Oryzias latipes: one gene and its partner. Each later gene encodes a partner of the first gene's protein in a complex. Links are inferred from orthologs where the notes say so. Each region holds a gene or a part of one and is shown in the gene's direction. Other genes may lie near its edges.

Evidence for each region. Proteins that work in one complex are often made in the same cells at the same time.
Region 2: the proteins of E3 ubiquitin-protein ligase Itchy (region 1) and txnip are in contact, whole or in part, in a crystal structure (PDB 5CQ2), measured with the Homo sapiens proteins. The link is inferred for Oryzias latipes from reciprocal best matches to the Homo sapiens genes ITCH and TXNIP. Residues at the interface, in NP_001244066.1 of Homo sapiens: Glu485, Arg487, Thr489, Tyr495, Val497, Asp498, His499, Arg502, Thr503, Thr504, Thr505, Tyr506, Leu516; in NP_006463.3 of Homo sapiens: Pro328, Glu329, Ala330, Pro331, Pro332, Cys333, Tyr334, Val337, Ile338.

What each region holds. Positions count from the first base shown.
Region 1 is NC_019865.2:2,020,175-2,023,674, reverse strand, and holds part of E3 ubiquitin-protein ligase Itchy, read left to right. Parts: coding exon 1-69; intron 70-2,005; coding exon 2,006-2,075; intron 2,076-2,514; coding exon 2,515-2,599; intron 2,600-2,674; coding exon 2,675-2,803; intron 2,804-3,500. UniProt on the Homo sapiens protein: Acts as an Acts as an E3 ubiquitin-protein ligase which accepts ubiquitin from an E2 ubiquitin-conjugating enzyme in the form of a thioester and then directly transfers the ubiquitin to targeted substrates.
Region 2 is NC_019869.2:21,668,936-21,673,041, forward strand, and holds the start of txnip (thioredoxin-interacting protein), read left to right. Parts: upstream 1-1,306; 5' UTR 1,307-1,424; coding exon 1,425-1,680; intron 1,681-2,076; coding exon 2,077-2,152; intron 2,153-2,230; coding exon 2,231-2,378; intron 2,379-2,461; coding exon 2,462-2,821; intron 2,822-2,917; coding exon 2,918-3,223; intron 3,224-3,307; coding exon 3,308-3,358; 3' UTR 3,359-4,106. UniProt on the Homo sapiens protein: May act as an oxidative stress mediator by inhibiting thioredoxin activity or by limiting its bioavailability.

The sequences.
Region 1 (3,500 bases):
CAGTGGCAGCACCAGCGCAGCCAGCTGCAGGGCGCCATGCAGCAGTTCAACCAAAGGTTCATCTACGGGGTAAGACGCCGTGTGTCAGCGGGTCAAAGGAAAGCCACTGACTGTGGTGTGCGTACACGTTATTTTTTATAAACAGTATGCAGGATATTTTGTCTTAAAAGGAGAATAACATATTTTGTGTAGACAATGGGATGGTGCATAAACCTTTTTTCTTATATGAACTCGACAAGTGGAAAAAAAAGTCTTTGTCCAATGCCAAAAACTAAATTCTGTCTGGACATTTGACACGCGATAAACCCCGGTTCTTGAACACGTTCTCATGGTGTTCACACTGGACAAGCAGGGAGGGGCTACTTCTTTTTCTACTGTTTACTGCAATCTACATTTGGAATTTACCCTTTATTTTACCAGGAAGTCTCATTGAGATCAATTCTCTTTTTCGAGGGAAACCTGGAAGAGCCTTGGTGCGAAATGTTAAAGCGGGGAAAATCTGGCAAATCTTACTCTTTAGGCTTTTTCTTACACTCTTTCCAGTATACACACTATTACCAACAGCATTGGCTCACCCATCCAGATGATCACAATCAGGTCCTGAGACTTGACCTGGCCACAGGTGTATGAAATTAATCAGGCATGCAGGCTGTTTTTACAAACGTTTTTGAAAGAATGGGCCGCTCTCAGGAGCTCAGTGAATTCCAGCGTGGAACTGTCATAGGACGCCACCTGTGCAACAAATCTGATACTGATGTTTCTTGGCTCCTAAATATTCCAGTCAACTGTCAGCTCTAACAGAACAACATGGAAGAGTTTGGGAACAACAGCAACTCAGCCACCAAGTGGTCGACCTCGTAAACTGATGGAGAGGGGTCAGCGGATGCTGAAGCGCGTAGTGCAAAGAGGTCGCTGACCTTCTGCACAGCCAATTTGTACAGAGCTTCAAAATTCATGTGACCTTCAGATTAGTCCAAGTACAGTATGCAGAGAGCTTCATGGAATGGGTTTCCACGGCCGAGCGGCTGCAACCGAGCCACATAATTTGGTGGAGGAGGAATCATGGTGTGGGGGTTGTTGTTCAGGACTTGTGCTTGTCCCGTTAGTTCCAGTGAAAGGACCTCTGAATGCTTCAGGATACCAAAACATTTTGGACAGCTCCATGCTCCCAAGCTTAAGGGAACAGTTTGAAGCGGCCCCTTCCTCTTCCAACATGACTGTGCTCCAGTGCACAAAGCAAGGTCCATGAAGACATGGATGACAGAGTCTACTGTGGATGAACTGGACTGGCCTGCACAGAGTCCTGACCTGAACCCGACAGAACACCTCTGTCAGTCAGAGTCAACTATTATTGTAATATTGGGCTACATAAAAAAAATAAGTTGAATTCAATTGATGGCTGCAAAAGGTGGATCCACATCATATTGAACTCTATGGGTTAAGAATGGGATGGTTTCAGTTCATATTTGAGTCAAGGCAGGTAGGTGAGCCAATGCTTTTGGTTACATAGTGTATGAAAGACCCTGTTTTATTTATTTCCAGCCGGGCACAAACCGTAATTACGATCTCCTTCATGATCAGTTTTCAAACGGTTGGCACTTTCGTGAATTACAAGGGGTGCCATCCATTCATCACTACCGTACGACAGAATCACCTGTATGTCATAAGTGCGTGCAATGTCCATTAGCCTAACAAGTGCTTCACAATTCACAATGGTACGTTCCATTTTCATGACGTTCCTTGAGGTGGCCGTACGAGCCTTAAGGGAACCGCTTCCCTTAAGACTGCTCCTCTCTAGGACCCTCCATGGACCGGACAATCCAAAAACCTGCAGCAGCCATACGGGTCAATCCCCCATACGTGTGGCTAAAAGCTTTAATCATTTAGTGTTGCAATTTATTTTTGACTCAAAGTCGATCAAGACCAAATTGTTCTGGTTCTCTTTGGGTTCTAATCCGTGATGTTTGTTATGGAACTTGATTATTGATAATAATTCTCTGTGCAGGTACAAGATCCGGCAGCAGCCGCTCAAAATAAGGAGTTTGATCCTCTTGGACCTCTACCAGCTGGATGGGGTGAGACTTTTTCGAGTTTCAAAACCAGGACAATTATATGGAGCAGTTTTTATGTTACTCTTTGCTACAAGTTTGGTTCCTCTTGAATTTGTTTAGTGTAAACTAGTTTCGGTTTGTTTTATAGCAGCATCCTAATTGAACCTTAATAAACCATATACTCTGTATTTAAATGTTTTTTTGGGATTTTTCCTTTACATTAAAGTCAAATGAATGCAGTTTGATGTAGTTTAAATATCCTGCCAGCTAATGAAATTGCATCTACAGTGGATTTCCTGCAGTTTTGAAAAAATGAAAATCGAAATACTATTGATTTGACTCTTAGCAAGCAAAAACGCAATGTGGGTTTTTTTTTTTTAAACCGCTAATGACTTTAAACCTCATCCTGCAAACCCATCAACCTGTCAACCATAGTTAAGTCACTGACTGGCTTTCCTTTCAGAGAAGAGAACAGACGCCAATGGCAGAGTCTATTTTTTGCATCATCCTACCCGTTCTACTCAGTGGGAAGACCCTCGAACACAGGGGTAGGCATGTGCTCACAGATTCCCCCGCCGCCTCCTGAAAAGGACGAAAGTTGATGTTCTGATGTCACTTCTCAGGTTGTTGAATGAAAAGCCTCTTCCTGAAGGATGGGAGATGAGGTTCACTGTTGATGGCATTCCTTACTTTGTGGACCACAACAGGAGAAGCACCACCTACATCGACCCTCGCACTGGAAAATCCTCCCTGTACGTCTGACCGCTTTTAAAGACGTAGATGTTCTTTTAAAGCACAGTTAAGCTCAGTCTTTGGTACCAACGTACACAGAAATTCCAAACCTACAAATGCATGTTTGTTTGGGGAACATTGTACGCAAATCATCTTGACGCATTCCCCGTTTAATCTGAGAGTTCGGCAAATCACGGGCAGAGTAAAAGAAAAATGAACTCATCCTAAAACTGGATTAAAATGTCATTTCTTAACCGTAGCTCCTCCTCCTCTCTCATTTTTGATGTACCATCAGTAGCAGCGTTTTCAGATCATCAATCTGCAGGCAATGTCACAATCCTGAGTAGTAATCTTATTGAAATGCATTTGCACAAAACATGAAGAAGAGGATTTTTTTTTTTTAACCTAAAGAGGTTTGGGTTTCCAGCTAATGTGGCGTTCACTCAAATGGACGTGTTTTATCTGCGGGCGTGGTTCACCAGACCGCAGAAGTCATGCACCAGTTTCCTGCAGTGAAAAAGAAAACCTGTTTGTTTCTGATATGCGATCATCTGAACCACGAGGCCGCGGCTTTTCCAGCTGATAAAACCTAGACGCGTTCGCCTCTTTGCAGACGTGATCGCGTCTTAAAAACCTGAAATCCGTTCCTGCATGAATGACTTCCAGATTATAGCTGAAATTCAAGATTACTCGATTTTTCATAAAATTCTTACATCT
Region 2 (4,106 bases), on another chromosome or scaffold:
CACACTGCTCCTGGTGGTTACAGGTTGGCGCCATTGTGTGTGCATGGGTGAATGTGAATAAAGCACTATGGGCCTTAAGGGAAGGTAGAAAAGCACTATATAAGTATTTACCAGGAATGCAAAGATTCACTTTCTCCATGACTTGGTTCAATTTTTGGGTCACGTTTTTGTTTCCATTTCATATTTATTTTGAGTATTACAAAACAACAATAAAGCTAAAAAATATCTGAAAATCCCTCTTTTAAATTAGCTAATTAGCAAGAAAGAATGAAGAAAAATCTTTCAGTTGGCTTATACCAAAAACCATAAATACCATAAATAACACATCCTTCTAAAAGATAATGGCATGCTGTAGGGAAGCAAAGATGGCCGGAAAAGGGTCTGGCAGCTCCGTGACCCTGAAGTGGATTTTAGAAGAGGAATGAATGAATGAATGAATGAATGAATGAATGAATGAATGAATGAATGAATGAATGTGGCATCCCTACCAATTACTGAGGACTCTAGAAGTATCAAGAATCACTGTAATGTTAACTTCATGAATTGTTTACAGTGAAACTCTGGCGTTTATTTTGTAAGCAATATTTGACCTAACATGCGTGACGTTAAAAGGATAAAATGTTAACATTATATAAGTTGAAAAAATGTCACCCTAAATTAACCTCAAATACTTTTATTTTACATTTTGATGTCTTTTTGTATTGTTGGAATTGTCTTTTTGAACAATAGGGAAAAAAATACAAGCGAAAAAAAATACAAGCAGACAGTATAAAAACCCACAACAAAAAAATCTATATCACTTTTAAAAAGTGTAGCCTACACTGTGGCCCTTCAGCAGCAAACAGACATTTTAAAGTATTTAATGCTTTGGGAAAATATTAATGAGTTGATCCTCACAATTGTTTTATGGATCTGTCTGTTCATAAGACAATAAACGTCGTGTAAACTTGACCATTAACTGCTTGATATAGTGTTTTCAGGTTTTTCTTTATCTGTTATCATCCAGTTTCAGCATATCAGGACACAAAATTAACTGTAAACTGATTTTATATCATAGCACTGATAATATTCATTTGTAACGCAGCTGAATAACTGACCTAAGAGGGAAACGCCTGTACTTCCCAGGTTTCTGGTGTTTACTATAAACGCTGAGTTTTCGTCTCTCATCTCCTGAGCACGCGCTGCACTCTCGTATGCATGCGCTGTCCACGCGCTGACTCTGCGCTCTGATTGGCTAAAGCCGAGACAAACCTAGAGTTTCCGCCAATAGGAGCGCTGTGCATGCGCTGAGCCACACCGCGGAGGCGGTTCATCACGCGGGGCTCACGGAAAGAAAGAAAAATACAGCCGCCTCTGTTGTTTACAGCCTCAGACGACGAAAGCTTCAGTCGCACGAGCAAGCATTGTTCACAGCCTCAGCAGCCATGGTAGCCATGACGAAGAGACTGAAAACTTTTCAGATAGTCTTATCGGACCCGAGCAAGACTTTTTACTGCGGCGGGGAGAAGGTGTGCGGCCGCGTGGAGGTGGAGGTGAACGAGTTGACGCGGGTGTCTGCGGTGAAAGTCGTGGCTCTGGGCTGTGCCAAGGTGGAGTACGCTAAGGGGAAGCAGCGATGCCGACAGGAGGCCGAGTACCTGAGGCACGAGGAGGTCCTGAGCCTGCACGACCAGCCCAAAGGTAAGCCTCGTGCGCACTGGAACTGTTGGAAGTGCTGGAATTATTTTTGTCCTAGCTAAATAACACAATTACACGTTAAAAATATTAAGTAGTTAAATTATTTTTTCTTCCACTTTATAAATCTAAAGCTGTTTTTGTGGTTAAAGTGAGCTGCTTCTTTTTTTTTTAACTCTAGTCTATTTTAAAGTGAGTTTAATAAATTTGGATTCATGGGTGAAATATGACGCAGTGAGAATTTACAGGGGTTCATCAGTGAGGCAGGAATCAGAAACATCCGTGCTTGAACTTTGTCCCAGTTGGCTCTGTTTACATCATGTCCCACCTTCATTTTCATTTCCCACAGAGTTGCCCCCCCCCCCCCCCCCCTTACTCATGGTTTTTCTCCCCCCTCCCCAGATGCAGATGGCTCTGTCGTGCTGAGGCCTGGGAATAAATATGAGTACACTTTTGGATTCGACCTCCCCGACCAAGGGTAAGCCCCCTTTTTTTTAGTTCCTCATTCAGTCATGAAATGATTTGTGGTTCTAATCCTGTTTGTGTTTGCTCATAGGCAGCTGGTATCCTCTTACAAGGGGAAGTTTGGCTATGTTCAGTACTATGTGAAGGCTAAATTGGAGAGGCCGCTGCAGCCCACGCTTGAGTGCAAGAAATGCTTCGAGGTGGAGGAACCTCTGGATGTCAACACCCCAGATTTACTTGTGAGTAATCAGAACATCCATGGGTGTAGATGTTGGGATTCGCCGCCGTGCTAACCTTCTTTTTACCTCTTTTTGCTCTTCAGTCTCCCACAGGTGGCTCCAAGGAAAAGAAAGTAACCTGCATGTTCATTCCCGACGGCCAAGTGTCACTAAACGCCAAAATCGACAGGCGTGGTTTCTGTGAAGGCGAGGACATCTGCATCAACGCCAAGTTCGAGAACACCTGCTCACGCATCGTGGTTCCCAAAGCTGCCATCATTGCCAAACACACATATCAGGCCAACGGCCGCACCAAGGTCTTCAGGCAGAAGCTGTCATCAGTGCGTGGAAACCACATCATCTCTGGCATGTGTGACGCCTGGCAGGGGAAGACCATCAGGGTACCAAAGATCAAGCCATCCATGCTGAGCTGTAACATCATCCGTGTGGAGTATGCACTAATGGTGAGCCACCGATGGTGAAGTGTGCATGCCTGCGGAGCACCTGTGGCTCCTCCTGAGATAAACACGTGTTGATGGTCTGTTGTTTTCTTCTTCCAGATTTACGTCCACATTCCCGGCAGTGAGAAAGTGATCCTGGAGCTGCCTCTGGTCATCGGGACAGCCGGTCTCGGCAGCCGCAGCAACAGTGTGAGCAGCCAGGAGGGCTCCGTAAGCAACGCCTCCCAGAGCTGGGTGTCCCTGCAGATGCCCTCCAATCCCCCCAGCTACTCTGACATGACGCGGGACGTTCGGCTCGACCAGCCCCTCACGCCGCTGCTGTGTGACTGCGACGACATAGATGGCAGCCCCATTTTCATGAGGTCGCCCAGCTTCCAGTTCCCATCACCGCCTGTGTTTGCCGAGGTAAGGCGATCAACAGGGTTCTGCGCATTTCTGGCAGCTGCTGGGACGGTTCTGAAAGTTCTGGTTTTGCTTCGTGTTTTGCAGACCGAAGAAGAGTACAACGGAAACAACGTTTGCATGCTGCCAGTCTGCTGAATGCTGCAGCTGCGGGTCCAGTTCTCCAAGACCAATCATTGAATGCACTTCAACAAGAAGCTGGAGGTCCAAACTGGAGAGAACCTGCGATGATGATGTTTCTGCATATGCCTGTGCTTCATCCAGAGTTTCCCCCTGGTGTTCGGTTGGTCCTGAAGGTCTCCGTCTGCTGTTCCTCCCGTCTAAAGGCTCCATGGAGTAACCGGAGTCCGTTGGTGTTGCTGCTTCCTGTCGAACACTTTTTTTTTTTTACTCTTTGAGAAGGAGCCGTGTGTGAGTCAGGCTGTGACTCCTGGCTGGTTTGTTCATTCCAGTTATATCCAGTTTCTTCCAAAGAGGAGCTGTGGCTCTCAGCAGGCTCATCAGTTTGTTGGGAACAAACGTTTAGGATGATAAAGGAGCCTCCTTATTTCCACAGAGCATTATCTCAGCATGTTGTGTATGACTCCTTTTTCTTTTTTTTTTTGAATCGCACTTTTTAAAGTTATGCTCTGTTACTGCAAACAAACGTTTTTGGCTGTGTGTTACAAATGTAAAAAAATGTTTTTTTAATTTAAAAAGAAAAAAAGAGAAATCCCAAATTTGATTATATTCTGACTTTAATTCTTTTCAGCAGGTGTGATGCTGAAGCACCTTACAGAACTGCTGTATCTGTTCTGCAGTTGTCTCAGACAACATTTCAGTCAAATCTGCCCTCTTTCTTCACTTTAAAAGTTTGAAAAGTGTTTTAAGACTGAGTTGTAAGAAA